Linked DNA regions of Notamacropus eugenii. The protein of the gene in region 1 interacts with the protein of each later gene in a pairwise test. Links are inferred from orthologs where the notes say so. Each region holds a gene or a part of one and is shown in the gene's direction. Other genes may lie near its edges.

What was found.
Region 2: the proteins of HABP4 (region 1) and C1QBP interact in a two-hybrid assay, tested with the Homo sapiens proteins (2 studies listed by BioGRID and IntAct). The link is inferred for Notamacropus eugenii from reciprocal best matches to the Homo sapiens genes HABP4 and C1QBP.

What each region holds. Positions count from the first base shown.
Region 1 is NC_092874.1:327,442,287-327,452,377, reverse strand, and holds the start of HABP4 (intracellular hyaluronan-binding protein 4), read left to right. Parts: upstream 1-5,923; 5' UTR 5,924-6,018; coding exon 6,019-6,424; intron 6,425-10,091. UniProt on the Homo sapiens protein: Ribosome-binding protein that promotes ribosome hibernation, a process during which ribosomes are stabilized in an inactive state and preserved from proteasomal degradation.
Region 2 is NC_092877.1:389,109,032-389,118,987, forward strand, and holds the start of C1QBP (complement component 1 Q subcomponent-binding protein, mitochondrial), read left to right. Parts: upstream 1-5,389; 5' UTR 5,390-5,691; coding exon 5,692-5,920; intron 5,921-9,014; coding exon 9,015-9,165; intron 9,166-9,615; coding exon 9,616-9,706; intron 9,707-9,956. Other genes in the region: ATP-dependent RNA helicase DHX33, read left to right, coding at 577-663, 2,102-2,410.

The sequences.
Region 1 (10,091 bases):
TGGAATGGGGAGAGAATTGTGGCAGGGAAATCAACCAGCAGGCTATTTATTGGCAGACCTTTCTGAATGGAATGGTATTTCTTTTCCTCTAGAGGGCTGGAGACCAGGCAAAAGAACTGGTGAAAAGGATGTTTCTTCTCTTCAAAAGTAATAAGAAAGTTAGGAAGATGGGAGTATTTGTAGGGTTAATGATGAGATTAGTTTTGTACATGTTGAGTTTAAGATGTCTCTGAGACATTCAGTTTGACATGACTAATAGGCAGTTAGAAATATGAGACCAAAGGTCAGGAGAGAGGTTAGAGATGGATAAGAAGATTTGAAAATCATTAGCATTTAGAAAAAATAATAAAATTCATCTGGAACAACAAAAGGTCAAAGCTATGTAGGAAATCAATGAAAGAAATGAGAAGAAAGGTGGTCTAGCCATTCCAGATCTCAAACTGTATAAAGTGGTAATTCTCAAAACTGGTACTAACTAAGAAATACATGGTGGATCTGTGAAACAGATTAGGCACACAAGACACAGTAGTAAATGACCTTAATAATCTAGTACGTGATAAAACCAAAGATCAAAGTTTTTGGAGCAAAAATTCATTATTTGATATAAACTGGTAAGAAAACTGGAAAACACTATGGCAAAAACTAAGTATAGACCAACACCTCACACTGAATACCAAGATAAGGTCAAAATAGGTATGTGATTTATACAAAAATGGTGATACCATAAGCAAATTAGGTGAGCATGGAATAGTTTATCTGCCAGCTCTATGGATAAGGGATGAATTTGGGACTAAAGAAAATATAGAGAGCACCACAGAATGTAAAATCGATAATTTTGATCATATAAAATTTAAAAGTTTTTGCTTGTGGTTTTGCTTGTGCAAAAACAATGCAACCAAAATTAAAAGGAAAGCAGAAAACTGGGAGAAATTTTTTTGCAACAAGTATCTCTGATAAAGGCTTTATTTTTTAAATAAATAGAAAAACAGTCAAATTGATAAACATACACTGTCATTCCCCAATTAATAAATGATCAAAAGATAACAGGCAGTTTTCAGACAAAGAAATCAAAGCTATCTATAGTCACAAGAAAAATATCTAAATAATTATTAGACATATATAAATTAAAATATATATTATATATATTATATTATATATATTATATAAAATATAAATTAAAATAACTCTGAAGGTCCCACCTATCAGACTGAGAAAAGGAAAATGATAAATGTTGGAGGTAATGTTGGAAAACTGGGATACTAATGCACTGTTGGTGGAGTTGTGAACTGGTTGAACCACTCTGGAGAGCAATTTGGAATTATACCCAAAGGGATATAAAGCTATGCATATCCTTTGATCCAACAATATCACTGTTAGGTTCATATGCCAAAGATATAAAAAAAAGAGAGAGAGAGAAGGACCTATTTGTACAAAAATATTTATAGCACCTTTTCTTGTGGTGGCAAGAATTGGAAATCAAAAGGATGCCCATCAATTGGGGAAGGGCTAAACAAGCTGTGCTATATGAGTGTGATGGACCATTATTGTTCTGTAAAAAATAACGAGCAGACTAATTTCAGAAAAACCTGGGCTTATATGAGCTGATGTAAAGTGAAGTGAACAGAAACAGGAGAACACTGTACACAGTAACAGCCATACTGTATGATGAACTGTGAATAACTTAGTTATTCTCAGCAGTATGACCCAAGGCAAGCAAGAACTGATATTATTTAAATACAGACTGAAGTAGGCTATTTTTCACTTTCTACCTTTCATTCTCTTTTATTCAAATCTTCTTGTACAAAATGACTAATACAGAAATATTTTACATGAATGCATATGTATACCCTATATCTGATTGCTTACCATCTCATGGAAGAGGGAAGGGAGGAAGAGATAGATTTGGAACTCAAAAATTAAAAAAAAAAAGTTGAAAATTTGTTTTAACATGTAATTGGGGAAAAAATGAAATATATTAAAAATGAAAAAAATCATCAGCATAGACATGATAATTAAATCCATAGGAACTGATTAGATCACCAGGTGAAAGATTACAGAAGTAGAAGAGAAAAGGACCCAGGACAGAGCCCTGTGAGATACCCACATGTATCTTGCTTGTTAATGGGTGTGACCTAGATAAATAGCAAGCAAAAGAGACTGAGGAGGGGTAAGATAGATAGAATGAGAATCAAGAGGGAGTAGTGTGTATCATGAAAAACTACTGAGAAGAATATCAAGCAGAATAAGGTGACTGATAATTAAAAACTGCTCAGAGGTTACAAAGGATGGAGAAAAGACCACTCGATTTAGCAATTAAGAAATTATTAGTAACTTTGGAAAGAACAATTTTGGTTGAAGTCAGATTATAGAGAGTCTAGAAGAGATTGAGAAGTAGAGCCACCAATTCTAGATACCCTTCTCAAGAAGTTTAACTACAGAAGGGAGGAGAGATATAGTATGATAGATATTAGGGCTGGATGGATCAAGTGATGGTCTTTTTGAGCATGGGGTGTGGGGGAGAGACATATGGGCATGTTCATAGGCAGCAGAGAAGCATCCAATAGATAGGGAGAAATGAAAGACAAGTGAAAAGTGGGGATGAAAAAAGAGAGAGTGGAATTGTGTAGAATTTTGCTCTATATGCTCAGGAATGAAGTGCACAGACATGAAGAGAAATGATTCTAACCAAGTGGAGAAAGGAGTTTTCCAAAAAAAAAGATGATGTGAACGCATAGCAAACACAGCAATCCATTTAGAATTTTTTTAATGTGTGTGCAGAAGTTAGAAGTACAAGTCAGATAATAAGGTGAATATGAAAATATGCCATAGTTCTATTTTTTTTTTGGTAGACAGGTTAAGTGATTCGCTTAAGGTCACACAACTGGTAAGTGTCTGACTCTGGCTTTGAATTAGGTCCTCCTGACTCCAAGGCTCTATCCACTTAACTCCCTAGCTGCTCCCTATACCGCTATAATAATAGTGTCAGGAATGCTGAATGAGCTAAGGTTTGGTGAGGAAAGTGAGAAGAAAAAAGGATTCTTTTAATATTGTTTTTTGCTATACTGGCAAAAAAGAAAGATGATTAAACAGGACTGCTAATCAAAATGGAAGAAAAATACAACAATTGGAAAGAAGAAAAAAACACTCAGCTTTTTTCTGTTTTCTTTTTTTTTTCTTTACCAAGAAGAATGATCTTTGGATCAGAAAAGACAAAGCAAAATTGACTTAAAGTTGACAACCAAGACAAACAAGGAGATTGTCAAAGTACATTGCTTTTGATGACCTCTAATCACCAGTCCAAATGAATTGTACTTCAGGGTGAACTAGATTCTATCTCCATGTCACCATGTAGAAGAACTATATCCCACTTTAGAACTAAGAAAGAATAGGTGGACATGACTGCTATATCAGTCAATGATATTTGAAAGATCTTGCAGACTAGAAGAGATCCTGTATAATCTGAGAAGGCCAAATGTTATAATGACTTACAAAAAATGGAAGAGAATGAAATCTGCAAACTACAGGTGAGTGTGACTGATTCTGGTAAAATTCAAGGAGCTGTTCTTAAAGTTAGTGAACATTTAGAAAAGAAAGCAGCAATCACTAACAACCAACACGACTTAATCAAGGACAGGTCATCCATTTTTGTCAGCATTATTAGACTTTTATATTGGAGGAATGCTAGAGATACCTCGTTTACCTGGGTTTTAGAAAACACATGACAAAATTTCTCATACTGTCCTTGAAGACAAGTTAGAGAGATATAGGTTAGATGATCATAGTCAGGTGAATTTAGAACCAATTGAATGCCCCTATCTAAAGAATAATTATTGTTTGTACGTTAACTTGGAAGTTCTCTAGTGGAGTACCTCAAGGATCAGTTCTTTGAACTTAGCATTTTAATCATTGCCATGGGTAAAGAGATAAATGGCATATTTGTGAAATTTGCAAATGAACCAAAGCTAGGAGTAGTAGCTAACATGTTGAATGAATTAAGCACCACAAAGATTTTGGACATGAGGACAAAAGTGATGTGGTTTAATTTTATGAGGATATGTGTAAATTCTTACACTTGTATTTTAAAAAATCAACTTCCTAAGATAGGGCAGGTCTTCTTAGCTAAGTATATTATCTGAAAAAGATCTGCAGTCTTTTATGGACTGCAAAGTCAATATGATACAATAGTGTATTATCTTTTCTTTGTATGACCAGCTGTATTGTAATGAGCAGCTGTATTTTTTGTTTCATATAATTTTCATACAATTCATAAAATTGCTTGTTGAATTGTGAATGAAGTCATTCCCTATCATCTACTGGTGGCATAGGCCTCCAACCTTAATAAAGCTTGTCTTCTAATTTTTTTTTTTTTGGCAGATTGATGACAGTTAATGAAATTGATAAGAAAATTCATGCTGCAAATGAGGCTAAAAGAGCTGAGTTCTGAAAATAAGCAATAAGGAGGTTACTGATGACTTTGGACAGAACAATTTCATAGAATGATGGGAACTGAAGCCAAATTAAAAGGGTTTAAAGAATGATTGGGTGCCAAGAAGGTGGAAGCGATGAGTGTAGACTCTACCGCAGTGAAGGCTAGAGAAATATGGTGGCAGATTCAGAAATGTCGGGGAAATTATTGAAGAACACATGAGAGAAATTGGGATTGATTGACGCAGTAAAGGATCTGAGAGTGGTCGTGATCAAGAGAAAAGAGTTAGGTTTGGCAAGGAGGAGGGCCCCTTCAACCCCTGGTACTGAATGGTGAAAGAAAACACTGGAAGCTTTAGGGGGAGGGAAAGAGAGGAAAAGATTATTGAAAGCGCTCAGCCTTCTTTTTTTGCACACACTAGGTATTTAAGAAACACATGTTGATTGAATGAATGGCTCCCAAGGTCTTAGTAAAAACAAGGTCATTTCCTTGGAGTCGTATTGGTAAAGCTGGGGACTTAAGAGATTTGGAATCGCCAATGCGGTGGATTGGGTTCAATGAGATAAATAAAGGGGTGGCCATGTACTGGTACTAGGTTCAGCGGAGGTCAGGTAGGAATAAAGCTGTAGTGACGCTAGTCAGGCTCGGTTTGGGGATTTCTTCCAGAATTCTTTTTCACTGTTTAGGAACAGGAGTGGACAGAAGCCAGACTGTGGTAACCTGGGGTTAAAGAGAAGGAAAACAAACGGAAGGGACATTTCCTCCAGGATGCAGTTGTGAAAGCACACAGATTACGCGCATCTGCTGCACACTGCCAGACTGACTCCACGGTTACCTTACAAAGGTAAAGAGAGCGGGGCTGGCCAGCACCGGAGGAGTCGGGGCTGGGCTCAGAGCTGGCAGGGCTGGCCAGCACCGAAGGAGTCGGGGCTGGGCTCAGAGCTGGCAGGGCCCTTAACTACAGTCCAGCAGACCGGACGGTTGGCACAGAGTCTTTGCACCAGCGAGACTCAGACCTCAGTACTTCTTCCCCTCTCCTAGGGATGAACTTGGATGGATGTTAAAATAAAACAAAAACCCGCTCACTAGAGGCCCCTCACGCAAATCACCAGTCTCGAGAGTCCAGCCACCACTCTCCTCTAAAGAACGGCCAAAGAGCTCGGACTGCACTAGCGGGAGGAACCTGTCCGACCCCAGCTAAAACCACGCTTCTCTCATTTTACTGCCCCAAGCCCCGCCCCTGGAGTCAATACCTCCTCCCCGGGGCTGGTAGGCGGACCGAGGCGGGGCGGAAAGTTAGCGTGACGAGACAGGAGAAGGCAGGCGATTGGCCGTGACGGAGGGTCTGGGCGTGACCAACCCCATTGATTGGTTGGAGGGCGGGGCCTCCAGAGCTGGGACATCTACGGCGGCTGGCGGGGAGACGGGGGCGGCTGGCTGTGGGGGGGGGGGTGCGGGTAGTGGGGCCGGGGACCGCGGAGGGCTGAGGGCCATCGCGGCGGCGGGGGCGGCTGCGGGATGGGGCTGAGCTCCCAGCTCCGTTAAAGACTGGCATCGGCTGCGGCGGCAGTCGAGAGAAGGAGGGAGCGGCCATGAAGGGGGCTCTGGGCAGCCCGGTGGCCGCCGCCGCAGCCGCCACCTCCGCGATGCAGGAGACTTTCGGCTGCGCGGTGGCCAACCGCTTCCACCAGCTGCTGGACGACGAGTCGGACCCGTTCGACATCCTGCGCGAGGCCGAGCGGCAGCGGCAGCGGCAGCAGCAGCAGCAGCGCAAGAAGCGCGACGAGGCGGCGGGGGCTGCGGGCGGCGGCGGGGGCGGCGGGGGCGGGGGCCGGAGGCCCGCCTCGGCGGGGGCTGCGGGACTCCGGCTGAGCGGCGGCGGCGGCGGCATCGGCGGCGGAGGCGGCGGCGGCCGGAGGGAGTCCCAGAAAGACCGCAAGATCTTCTCCTCCCCCTTCTCCCAGCCCGACAGCTTTGGGGGAGGCCCGCAGCCGCCCGGTACGCCCACGCCCCTCCCTCCCGGCCGGCTGCGGGAGCGTTTCCCCGTTTATTTATTTTCTCCTTTTTTAGTTATCCCCAATCTGCCCACCCTCTTTCCCCCTCCGCCCCCCTCCCTGGTGGCGAGAGATCCGCAGAGTCCGGCCGGAAGCTCCCGCATGGGCCGCGGCCGAAAGCGTAGCTCTCCCGCATCCCGGGCCTCCGGCATCGCGGTCTAGCAGAGTTCTTAACTCTTCAAAGTTGTCTGTCTGTCCGTGTCGCGGTTCTTTGGGACGTCCTTAGGGTTCTGCTGATGTCGCCCCGCACCCGTGCAAACGAATCTTACCCAGGTTTCTCCGAACCTCGCCCCGTCCCCTTCACCGTTTCTTACGGCACAATAGTATTCCCTTCCATCTGTGGACCATAATGTGTGCAGCCATCCCCCCTTTGGATGGTCACATCTTCTAGGACCCCGTTCTTTTCCGCCCCACCCCCACCTCCATCCCCCCACGAGGGTAGCAAGGGAAGTATTGAGGCTGCGGTGGAAACTCTGCAGGCAGACGATGATAGGAGAAAAATGGGAAAGAGGGACGTCATCTCGGGCCTTTCTCCCATCGCATTCTCCCTCTCATCCCTCTGAAAAGCTGGGCACGGGGGTTAGGGGTGTCAAAAGTGGGTTTGGAAGGCTAGCAGAATGAGGTGTGGAGACAGACCTGGAAAATCCAAAGGAACCCCACCCCCAATTCTGCCAAGGACAATTGGAGGGGAAAAATTATACTTTCTTTCTTTTGGTTTAAATGCGGGGGAGGAGGTAGAGAATTTCTTCTTTGAGAGGCAGAGATAAAAGTAGCCCCAGAGTCGAGGATACTGGAAGGGGGAAAGGAACGAAGAAGACTTTTGAGACTCTGGGCTGACATGAGAGCCTGGATTATCTGGAGCAACCTGGTAATGATGATACCTGTTAAGTATGGAAGTAATGGAATGATGTTGAGCAGCTAAGTTCTGTTTTGAAAAGGGAGAATGTAGATAGTAAGGGTGGCATTAAAAGTATTTGATTTCAAGCTACCTGAGGTTCAGAACCAATCCCTGGCTGACTTGTTAGGGCTGTGCATCCGCGCAAGGCACAGCCTAGAGTTCACTAGAGTGCTAAGTTGGCACCGGGGGATTCAGTAGTTTAAATAATATTATGCAAGTTTTCTATTATCATCTGGTATTAAAATTTGACGTACAGTCATGGACAGCGTTTTTTGTTTTGAATTTTGGATTATGTCAATCTGTTGCTGATATATTAGAGAGATTGCACTCCACCCGAGTGTATTCAAAAATGATTCTATAATGTTGTTGAGATGCCTTATTTCTTTGTAGCAAGTAGAAAATCAGGACTCCAGGTTGATGTGTTAATATTTCTACAAAGTAAATGTATTTCATTATTTCGCCTTGCCTCCTGATAATGTGCACTAATCGATGACCTTTAACTCTACAAGACAATCAACCACTTTTGCCTTCTGCACAGTCTAATTCAGGCAATGGCTATGAGGTTTGCAGAAAGCTACTGCTCTATTTGCTTTCTGTTTAAAATGAGAGGATTTAATGTGGCAATCTCCTAAATATGAAAGAAAGTGAAATGGAGTAGATTTTTCAATTTATCCATAGGCATGCATGCTGTCTACTGTAGTGACCCTAGGTCCATTTGTATAAGGAATCATACATCAGTAGCACTGAGTCATTTGGCCTAATTTAAGCTTTAAGAATTTGTCTGAAGGCACTAGATAATAACGAATTATTTTTACCTGGGAAGTATAATCAAGAGCTATCGTTTTACTGTTAGTTACATTCCTTTACAAAACTGTCTAAATGTGTCACTAAGTATTTTTAGCATGCCAGTTAGGGATGACATTTGAAAGCTGTGTTTATGTACTATGCCATTTTGCTCATATGGTACCTGTGAGGTCATTATCAAGTAGTTAAGTTAAAACTCTGCTAATGTAGATTTTTTTTCCATTGATTAAAAACATTTTGTTTAACTTTAGGTTAATTCTTTACCTTACTCTATGTGTTATTCCAAAAAATGAAGATTTGTGTTCTCTGCCCTCTGCTGTTAGTATGAAACTTTATATTAAGTGGTACCTAACTAATATGATTAACATTATTGTAAGTTCCTAAATCAACTTTTTAAAAGTTGATTTTAACAGCTTTGGTAGTCTCTTTTCCTCTGTCTAGGAAAGTTTTTGCACTATCTTATTACTTTACAATTCTTATGAGATTCATTTTAAAGAATTTTGGTTGGCTTTAGTAGTCTAAAGGCTTTGTGTTCATTTAGGAATATCTTGGACTCCAGGAGCAAATCAAAGCATTTGTTTTTGTGACATTATCTTGTTAAGCTTCTGTGTAGTACTTTTGAAAATGCAAGTCCCAAGATTACAGCCTTGGAATATTATTAAAGTGGTAGGTATTGGACTTTGTTGTCTCTGAGTTTTCACTCCAGTAGAACATTATTTGTATGTGAAAACTTAATGTGGACAGGAAACCACAGTTCAAAGGAGTGAAGTGATTTAGTAGATCATTTATTAATCAGAGAATGTTATACAAATCACAGATTTTTTTTTCATTGCAAATGCCTAATGTTTCTTTCTTTTGTTTAAATAGCTGATCAGGTGTTGAAAAAATGTAAATTTAGCAAATGCAGATCCCTGTAAGTGGACCTTGTTTCTGGAGATTATCAGAGTTCTTCCTTAGTAACTATAACTATAGAAGTTCCCTTTCTGTAACTATACAAAATCCCCTGATGTGGTCCTTAAACTAAAAACTTGATTTTTGCCTGATAATTGTTGTAGATGCCATTTATTTAGTCCCTTTTATATGAACTTGCTTGTCTAATTCTTTGATCAGTGATCAAATTGCATGTGCCAGCCCTTTATTGAAAAGGGCTGTGAAATGCAAGGTTTGCATTATGCACTCACAGTTGCTGATCCAGCATAGAGAAAGGAACTGGGTTGTGCCTCAGTGAATTCCTAATACTGTATTTCCAAAATTGGAACCACTGATAATATACATCTTTTAGGATTTTCAAGGCAGGAAAAAACATTACAATACAGATTACTTCATCCAGTTTATAAAAGACAAGCACTCAGAAAAGGACAAGGTTTTTGGCAAAGAGGTCTTAGTAAGGGCAAATATAAAACTACACGATTCTTCATTTAAATTAATTTATTCTAACCTTTTAAAATATATTCGAGTGGACACTTATTAGTTCTGTGATCCTGAGCAAGGACCTCAACCCTGATTTTCTTTCCTCTCTCTCTCTGTCTCCCTCTATGTGTCTGTCTCTGTCTGGTCTCTTGTCTCTCACACACTCACACACACACACTGAAGTCAGAGAAGAGTGTTGTCTAAATTCTTGTGAGGAGTTTTCTACCCAAGTGGTATTTTTAAAAATCATAGTTAATTGACCCCCCTACCTACATTTGATTCTTAATATGCATTAAAATGACTTTGAGTTTAAGTTAAGAAAAATTCATATTATTTATAGATAAAACACATTTACATGTTTTGTTAGTGCATGTGATGATGACTGTGTTCACAATCAATCTTCAATTTAAAATACATGTTAGAACAATCTTTCATTTTCCTATTTATTAATTCATTTTGATAATCATACTTACCAAGGCATATAATTTCAGTTTACATG
Region 2 (9,956 bases), on another chromosome or scaffold:
GCCCTAGTGCCTGTGCCAGGGAGGCCTCCACCAGACCCCTGATCACTCGGTGCCCCAGCCCAGGTCCCACCTAGCCACTGTGCTGTGAGAGTGTATACAATGCTCTGCCCTGGTAGTCCCCCATCTCTCTGCTGTGAGAGAGGAGAGTTACATTTCATTCCCTTTTCATGTCAGTCATGGTTTAAAGTCCATACACACACACATCCCAGGCCAGCCAGGCAGACAGTACACATTTATTCGTTGCTTCTTGGGTGCCAGGCCCTGTCCTAATGCCGATCACTGTGACAGGACATTAGTGTATGTTGTTTGTAGGATTGGAGTCCTGGCACCAGTCCTGGCAGTCTCTGCTCCGTGTAAGGACATGACACCTCTTGCTAACTGCCCTTGCCAGGGGAAGGGTCATGAGGGAGGACCGAGTGCCAGGGCTCTATCAGCTAGCTCCATCTGCTCATGGCCTGTGTGGGTCAGTCCCCAGAGAGCAGGTTGCCCTCCAGCCCCAGTGCAGGGTGTGCCCTGCCCTGAGTAGACCCTGCTTCCAGGAAGCTAAGGGATGTGCGCTTTTTCTCTGATCCCCAGGAATGGTGCAGAGAGAATTTTGTCAACAGCAAGAACATGATGCTGGTGGCAGAAGTCCGAGCCCAGCTCCGGGACATCTGTACCAAGGTAATGTGGGGCCTTCCCCCACATTTCACTTCTAAGGCGTGGCTCCCCCACAAAGTAGCCCCACTGCACAGTGGTCATTCCTTTAGGCCAGAGGGGCTTTGTGTAGCTTAACTCTCATAGTCTTGAGGAAATCAGGGTTAGCCATGAGCTGATGACTTCCTGGGTGCCACCTCACTAGCAGTCCCTCCTGTTTGGGGGCTGCTCTGGTTTGGCTGAAATAGTCTGTGTTTCAGCTCTTCATGTCCTTGGGGCCCCTCCTAAAGCTCTGGCAGACTGAACATCCAGGTTTCTCTTGGCTGATCCTCCTCTGGACATGTTTCTGCTGACCTTCACCCTTCCTAATCCGTGGACCCAGTACTGAGTACAGCTCTGTTCTCTGGGCCTGACCCAGGAGGCAGCATGACCTTCCTAGGCTGGATGTCAGGAGGAAACTCCTTGAAAAATCCCATGGGATGGAAGAAAGGCAGTCCAGCAAGATTAGCGAAGGGGTAGTAGCAGCAGACTCCCCTTCGGAACAGGCCATCCTCTTCTCTCACACCCTCTGTTAGACTGTGACCTGAAAGAGAAAGGTCAGGCAGATTTCAGGGTGGCTTCAGCCAAATGTAAGCAAGGGAGAGGCTGGCGCCACCCCCACCCCATTCTGCATCATCTTTTAGAGGTCATTGACCACGGTCTGCCCTCATGTTATCAGCCTGAGGGTGCTTAGAATTCATGGAGAGCAGCTGGGGTCCCTTACAGTCATGTGTATCCTCTGACCTTCCTCTGACCCTCCAGGGGTGAAGGAAGGTAGGGGTGGGGATTACCAGTTAACCAGACCTGACTCCTTGAGCCTCCTCCCACTCACTGGAGGCTACTTCCTATGTGGAGTTGGAAGAAGGCTTGCCCTTGTCCACATTCCCACTCCTCCACAGGCCAGGCTCATGGCAGAGCCTTGGCATTCCAGATGCAGGGCTGGCAGAGCTCAGGCAGGCGTCCACCACCTCTAGCACCTGCCTCCTCCTTCCGTCCATGTCTGCAGCCTCAGCGCATTGAGGGCGAGCTCTTTAGACCACTTTTCCTTCTCAGCAGGATCGGTTCTTTTGGCATCTTGAGAATTTCAGTCTTGGTAGTTTCCCAGATGGACATTCTCTAGGGAATTTTAGTTGGTTCTTGGCTGAAATGATTAGGGTCTCTACCCCTCACCTGCACTCCCAGTAGGGCCTGTCTCCTATTAGCACAATGTGGGGAGGAACGTCTCCTGCTCCCCAGGGTCACTCCCTGGGATAGCACCTTGCTCTTTAATGGATCATTTGGATGACAGATGCTGGCATGAGGAGGAAAAGGACCTAAGTTTCCCCTCTGTGCACCAGCCAGCTGGGGCTCAGCATCTTGGCCTGAACCTCAGTCGGATGGGGAGAATTAGGTCATCAAGAGTCATCTTTCTCCTCTTCTTCGACAGATGTCGATGCCAATCGAATCTTCACGGGCAGACACGGGGAACATTCGTCGATGCCTGGCGCATGGCCTTTTCATGAACACTGCCGAGCTTCAGTCTGATGGGACCTATGTAACCGTGGATACCCGCCAACCAGTATCCATCCACCCGTCCTCTGTGCTGTTCCATTGCAAACCAGCCTGCGTCACCTACAATGAGCTGCTGTCCACCAATAAGTGCTACATGAGGGACCTCTGCGTGGTCGATACAGACTGGCTCTATGATGCTGCGCCTGAGTACTTCCGCAGAAAGATGCGGGCCGCCCGCAGCTAAGCCTCGTGGCTCAGGCCGACGTTTGGCCAGGATGGGAGAGGCAACTGGCGGCCTCAGAGCTTGGGGCAGAAAGGGAAGGTCAGAATTCCATGCCTGTTATGGGATGGCTTTGGAAACTGCTGCAAAGGCTTGAGCTGTGCTCATTACTGGCTAGTGGGCAGGAATCTGCCACGGTTGGCTAGTTTTTATCCATATACAGTTTTTCAATTGAAAATGCAATAAATTGACTTTTGTAAAATTTTTAGGAAGGAGATGTTGCCGCTGCATGGCCTCATTCATTTAGCTTGGGCTCCTCTGGGGGCCTTGCCAAAGTTGGTGCCAAGAGAGGTGTGAGGTGATGGGGGTGGGGTGGGTGGAGAGGCCTTGGGGTCATGGCTCCAAGCCCCTCCCTGCCAGGAGCTGTGGAGCCTGAGGAAATTCTTCTGTCTGCTCATTTCTGGCTGCTGGTGGTAACAGGTGGCAAAGTGCTTTATATCTACCCACCTTCTCATCTCATTTAAGCCTGGTCTAGGTTCTGTCATTGTTCCCATTTCTGTGCTGTGGAAATGGAGGCTGGCGGAGTTGATGTGACTTTGGCAGGGATTGAGGCAGGTCTTGGACTCAGCATTTCCTCAACCACAGTCCAAAACACTTTCCATGCCACCACCCAGCTTCTGCTGCTAAGTGATTCTTACACAGGTGAGCTTTCGAATATTTGGAGGCAGCAGCCATACCCTAGCAGACCTGGGTGCACACCCCTGCTTTCACCAGGCCTTTCCCCAGTCTCCTGGGTCCCTGGCAGCTCTGTATAATTGGAGTGAAGTACTCACCCATACGTAGCCCTGTGCCAGGCTTCAGGACAAAGCTCATTGTGTGAGAGCCCTGTGCCCATGCAGGAGAAGCTGCAGAATTCAGATCAAACCAGGTCATGCTTTCATGGATCTCAGAGGGCGGTTGTTCATTTGCACATTTTCTTGTCTCTGCATTAGCTCTTAGAGATCTTCCCAGCCTTCCCTACCAGTCACCTGCATCATTTCTTACAGTACACAGGACTGTCCAAGTAGCCAGTTTGGGGGGTGTCTTTGGACTTCAAATGTTCCCCACTTCCGTCCATCCTCCCCTCAGTCACTAAAATGGTTTTCCTAAAGCTCAGTGCAGGCTCTCTGCCCCCATAACCCCCTCCCCCTCCAATAGACTCCAGGGGCTCCCTAGTGCTTCTAGGATCAAACACAAAGAACCCTACATTATCTGCCCTTCCCCCTCTTCCAGTCTTATTATACCTTACTTCCCAAATTGGACTTTTGGATTCAGTGATCCCAGCTTCCTGTCTGTTTCACTAACAAGGCCCTCCATATGTCTGGCATTTTCTCTGGCTACCCTCCACCCCCACGTCTGGAATGTTCTGTCTCTTGCCTTCCTTTGAGCCCCAGCTAGAATCCCCTTTTCTACAAGAAGCCTTTCTGGGCCATCCTTAATCTTTGTGCCTTTCCATTACTGATTATCTCAATCACCACATGTATTATATATTATGGTGTGTGGGTGTGTGTGTAAAATTAGGGCAGCTAAGTGGCACAGTGGATTAGAAGTATCTGGCCCCAGACACTAGCTATATGACCCTGCACAATTGCCTCAGTTTTCTCATCTGTAAAATGAGCTGGAGAAGGAAATGGCAAACCTTTCCAGTATGTTTGCCAAGAAGATCCCACCTTCCTTCCCTTGCCCATCGAGAAAGTACAAAGCAAACAAAAAGAACCGTTACCAATAGGTCAAGCAAGCCAGTCTGTGCTGACCATGTCTAAAAACTGTCCATATGTTGAGGTTCAGGGGTGCTGGGGACCCTGAAATACCGACATGCCAGGTCCTGCCCAAATGAATTCAACTCAAGCTTTCTTAAAGCCAAAGAAAAAGTTTATTAAAGATTTGCCATACTGGGTTGACTCAAGGAGCCTAAGCTTTTGTAACTCTCCCAGATAGAATCTCAGACAGAGTCTGAGGTGGATTGAATCTGAGCACCTTCAAGGAATCGGGATGGAATTTAAATACAGAAAAAGACTGAGAAGCATCCAGGTGTTGGCAGGGATGGTCTTGGTAGATCAAACCTAGGAGAGAATCCTGATGGGAGTGGTCAGAAGCCTGGGGAATGGGGTTTTAATAGGATCAAGGGTGGGGAGTGCAACAGAGACCAGTGCACAGCGATAATGAAAAGCCCAAGGGCTTCCTGAGACTGCTGGAACAAATGGGAAGATTAGATTTGAATAAGAAAGGCCAGATTAAGTGGGAACATTCAAGAAGGCTCCCAGAGTCTGAACCCATCACATTTACACTGAGCCCAGCATTAGTGTCTCCAGTGGTGGGCAGAGACTTTCCTCCCGAGGCCTCTGGAATTGTGAGAGCTTCGGTAGTGAGAATTTTCAGGGTCCTTGCTAGCTACGGATAATGCAGGTACACTGTCATTCATTTAAGCAGAATGGGATACCTCCAATCCGTGTGGGATGGAGGTGTAGGTCTCACAACTGCCGAGATGGACACGAGTGTATGTAGGATCTCTCCTTCCGAGGTACCAATCCGGGCAGGCTGGATACAATCTAAGCTCAGTCCCAGGTAGCTGGGATTCTAGGTACCCCAGGCTAGGCGCTCCCGGTCCCTTCCTTAGCCTGAAGCGCAGGCAGTTCCCACAAGTGCATGTTGGATACTTTGTAACCTTAGCCTGAAGCGCAGGCATTTCCGGCTCGTACATATTGGATATTATGTACACATGCAAGTTGGATACAATGTAACCTTAACCTGCAGCGAAGTCAGTTCGGTCACATGCAAGTTAGATACAACGTAACCTGGGCGCTCGCGGTCAGTGACAGAGAATGGGGATGCCTCTGGAGGAAACTGGCCTGAAATGGAGCCCCGCCTCCTTCGGAGGAGGGTCGGACAAAAGGATGGTGAAAACAATGAGGTTAAACAGGAAGGCAGAAAACAGGCGGGGAAAGTGCGCTCACGTCTGGGCGTGTCCAGAGAATACGCGGTCTCGAGCCATTCGGGGAAACTCCGGGCCCTCCTCGCTCTAGAGTCGGGTGACTCCAGTAGTGGCGTCGCAACCAGTCAATCATCGTGCAGTCCTTGAGTACCTTCACTGGTGCTATCACCATCTCCCGACGAGGGGCGCTGTGACCCTCCGAGGTGGCGCACGAACTTCCGGAACGGGACGATCTTGGGCCTTTCCGGCCAGCGCATTTCCCGGCGTGCTCCGCACTCTCTGCTGTCTTTCCGGTCTCCTACGGCGCTCCCACGCCTCTCCGCGTGTCTCGGTCATGGCCCCGCTGCTGCTACCGCTGCTGCTGCGCCCTGCGGCCCGGGCCCTGCGTCCCGCCGCCCTCCCGACGCTGCGCCCCCCCATGGCCGCCGCCACCCGCGCCTTCGGAGGCCTCCTGGGGGGAGGAATCGCCGGCAGGCCTGGGCCCGCGCGCCCCCGACTCCTGCAGCCGCTCCGGAATGCCCCTGGCCTATGCTCGTGCACGTGCGGGGGGCTCCACACCGAGGGTGAGCGCGCGGCCGGGACCTGGGGAGAGCGGGGGAGGGGCTCCCACGCTGACCCCATGGGGTGCGCACGTGGATCCGCACACCTTCCCAAAGGCGGTCAAGTCGCTTTCGGGGCGCCGATTATTCGGATTGGCGAGGGCTGGGTTTGGAATTGGGGCTCCTGCCCGGGTAGTTACGGAGGGAGCAGGCCCCACGTGGCTCTGACCCTAACCCCCTGACCTATTTTCAAGGTGACCCTTGGTGTGGGGAGTGCTTGTAGCTGCCTCGCCTTCCCACTGCCAGGCCATCCTGGCTCAGTCTGCCCTTCTGTCCTCTCCCGATCCGACACTCTCTCTGTCAAGACTCATCTGGCTTCTGGCTTCTGTCGACTTTGCTAAGTCTGTGGTTTCCAACTCTAACCACGCTGAATGATCATCAGAGCCCAGGACGATCCACAGCGCATTGGGGTGCCCAGTCCAGCGGGCAATTCTGCCTTTGGAATTGGCGCCCCAAGAGTTTACCCACATGCTGGCAGCTCCCACAGACAATGGATGCTGCTACTGCCTTTAACAGGCGGGGAGGGTAGGTGTGGTGGCAGTGGAGCTAAGGCTGCTTGGAGAGGGGATTAAGAGAAATAAGTGTTGAGAAAAAACCACTTCATAGGCGGAGAGTGGGTTGGTGGCCATATTTGCCTAATGAATACTAGGACCCCGTGGGGCAGCTAGGTGGTGCAGTGGATAGAGCATCAGTGCAGGAGTCAGGAGGACCTGAGTTCAAATCTCACCTCAGACACTTGACACTCACTAGCTGTGTGACCTTGGGCAAGTCACTTAACCCCAATTTGCCTCCTCCTGGGTCATCTCCAGTCATCCTGAGGAATATCAGGTCACTGGATTCAGATGGGTCTGGAGGAGAAGTGAGGCTGGTGACCTGCACAGCCCTCCCTCACTCAAAACAAAGTCAAGAGCAAGTCGTGTCGTTATTTCTCTGCTGGCGTGGTCTTCTTCCACAATGAAGGATGATCACACCCTAGGACCCCATACATTATATTTTTATTTTGGTTTTTGTTTCATTTGTTACATTGGTCAAGTTGTTTAGTCTCTGCCCACAGAGATATTTCTGTAGAGGATTAGAGATTCTTTCAGTTCAGAGCTACTGGATTAATGTGAGATTTTGTGCTTGGCCCCAGGGTAGTTGATGGCTATGGCAGAGAGGGAATAGGGTAGGAAGAACATTATCGCAAACCTCCTATGTGCTAGGCACTGTGCACCTTATAAATATTCTCTCACTCTTGAGCCTCTTGAGGGCCTTGGGAGGTAAAGGCTATTCCCCATTTTTCCAGAAGTGGAAGGTGGCATCCCTCGTGGGTGGTCTTCAAGCAGAAGCTGGTGCCATCAAGTTACTGGGCTGCCTTGTGATACTCTGCACCCTCCCCATAGCATCTCTGTTCTCAGGGGAACCCACTGGACCTAAGATTTCATCAGTGTAGAAGATGAAGGAATTAGCGGCACCATTGCATGTGGCACCTCATCCATAACTTAGCAGGGGCAAAATGATTAGGGCTGGTCTCTCTAGATTGCCCCTTATTTAGACACTGGGACATCTGACCCAAAATTGCCCAACAAAACAAATAGACCATCGGACTCTAACCCTAAATGGACCAGGTTCCCCTTAGTGTGCCTGTTTGGGTAGGGTGGACAGAGGGAGATTTGTCCCAGGTCCTCTGTTTAATCAGGGCAGACTTGGCAGAGACGGAATTTTCAGGGTGTCTTAAATGAGGCTTCTGCCTAAATGTAATTGCTGGGCCTTGACTGTGGCCCCCTGACCTCTCTGGATCTGGCTTTCCTCTACAATGAGTGTTTTGGCTTCAGTTGCCCCTGCCTTCTGTCCCCTCTGAGCAGCACCATCTCTGTGGCAAGTGAGCCACAGCATCAGGATCCAGTGAGTCACTCTTTGCTCAGTCCACAACTTAAGGTTGTGGAATGGGGCCTAGTGCTACCATAAGTGCACACAACTGTCCAGGGGTTGTGTTAACACAAACTACTCAGGAAAGATTGGCAAATTCACTGTGAACACTGGAAGTGGTCTAGCAGGTGCTGAGGGTCAGCTGTCATCTCCAAACAGATTTCACCTCGGTGGGAGACCAAGAGTGGACATTATAGATGCTGTGTCTCCCCCGAACAAAGTCAGAGGGAAGTGGATGGAGGATGTCGTATTTCACAACTGTGGAGATAACTTGGCAGTCTCAAATTGAGAAAAATATGAATGATTTCCCCAGTCCAGGTAGCAAGATTCCTAAGAAAAGCTAGACCGACAACAGTATCAGTGCACTTAACGTCTCCTGCTTCTGTCAGCTGGCACCCATTGGACAAAAGTCCAGAGAAGTTGATCATTTCCTCCTGCAGTGTGACTTGCCAAAATATTAGTACATGAATCCCTTTATCTGCACTGGACTCTTTGGGTCTCTTTCCCATGCCTCCCTTTTGTCCCATGGTTTAGGGTCCATCTTGAGCCCTGTAGCTCTAGCAGGCTCAGGCTCACTGCTGGGACGTTCTCTTTCCCAACCTTCTGGTTTTGCCCTTGCCTCATGGGGCTGATTCCCTAGTCTCCCTCCCTCTATTGCTGTATAATAAATGACTTAACACTTGTGTCAGTCCAGTTCCCCTCCTGTGATCAGATGCTCCTGGAGTCCAGAGACTCTTACATTTTCATCTTGGCACTAAATGGGTATTTGGGTCTGAAGGCAGGCCCTGTCTTCAGGGAACTTCCTTCTCAGGAGTAGATGGGGTCAGGGGGTCAGGAGTTGTGCACAGAGGCACTGGGGGCACCTCTTCCTCGCCTATCATTTATTCCTGACCGGGGTGGCCAGCCTTGACTCCAGATTCATGTTCACAGCTGCTGGGGAGAGGGAATCCAGGCCTGATCTATAGTCCCTACTCCCCATGCTACAGAGTGGGGCGTGTGGCCATATTGTCACTATGATGATCTCTGACTGCCCCACCCAGCTCTATCTTGATAAAGCTTGTCCATGCCAAGGGTCTCTGCATGTGTCTTTAACATGAACCCATGATAGAGTTTAAAAGGCAGCTTTCCCATGTCTCCATTTTTATTTTAGGGGACAAGGCCTTTGCTGAATTCCTGACTGATGAAATTAAAGAGGAAAGGAAAATCCAGAAACACAAATCCCTCCCCAAGATGTCTGGGGATTGGGAACTGGGTGTGCAAGGGACAGAGGCCAAGTTAGTCCGGAGATTAACAGGCGAGACGTGAGTATGGCCTGGACTGGGAGGGACTCATTGCTAGGCCTACGACCACAGACAGAGCTGGAAAGGAATCTTGGTTATCAGATGGTGGAACCCCTCTGGGGTTGCTGGGACACCACTGTACAATGGTCCTTTCAAGGGGGTGTCTCTGAGGGGAGTTACAGAGAAAGCTGTCCAAAGAGGGACCGCTAAAACATGCTGTCCTCGGGGGGGGGGGCAGGGTGAGCTGGAGGGAAAGGGCTGAACTTGAGAGACTGGCTATGGAAGGAGGACGGGAGGCCCCTGGGATGCAGCAGCGCTTTGGGCCTCTGCTTCCATTGCTGACAGAAACATGCCATTCCACCATGGGCCACACACTGGCCTAGGGAGGCTGTTGGTGTGTACCAGGGGAAGCGTCAGAGGAGTAGATTGTACCAGACGTGGAACCCCCTTGGTCTTCTTTTTCTGCTTTAGGATCACAGTCACATTTAATATTAACAACAGTATCCCACCGACATTTGATGATGAGCCATCAGAGGGACAGAAAGTTCAGGAACAGCAAGAGGTGAGCTCAGCCTGGGGCTCCAGGAGGGAGGGCTCAAGAACAGGGTGCCACAGGAGCCTCTCACATCCCAGAACCAGGTCCAGTGAGCAGCCTGTTAGTTCAGTTCTAGGTGGACTGTGTGCAGAGCCTCCCCAAACAGATCAATGCAGGGAATTGAGGAAAGAGAGGGCCCCAGTTACTGGGGCATCAATGGAGGTTTCCTGTAAGAAGCCACATTCCCAGGGTCCACAGTGTGGGCAGGAAATGGAGC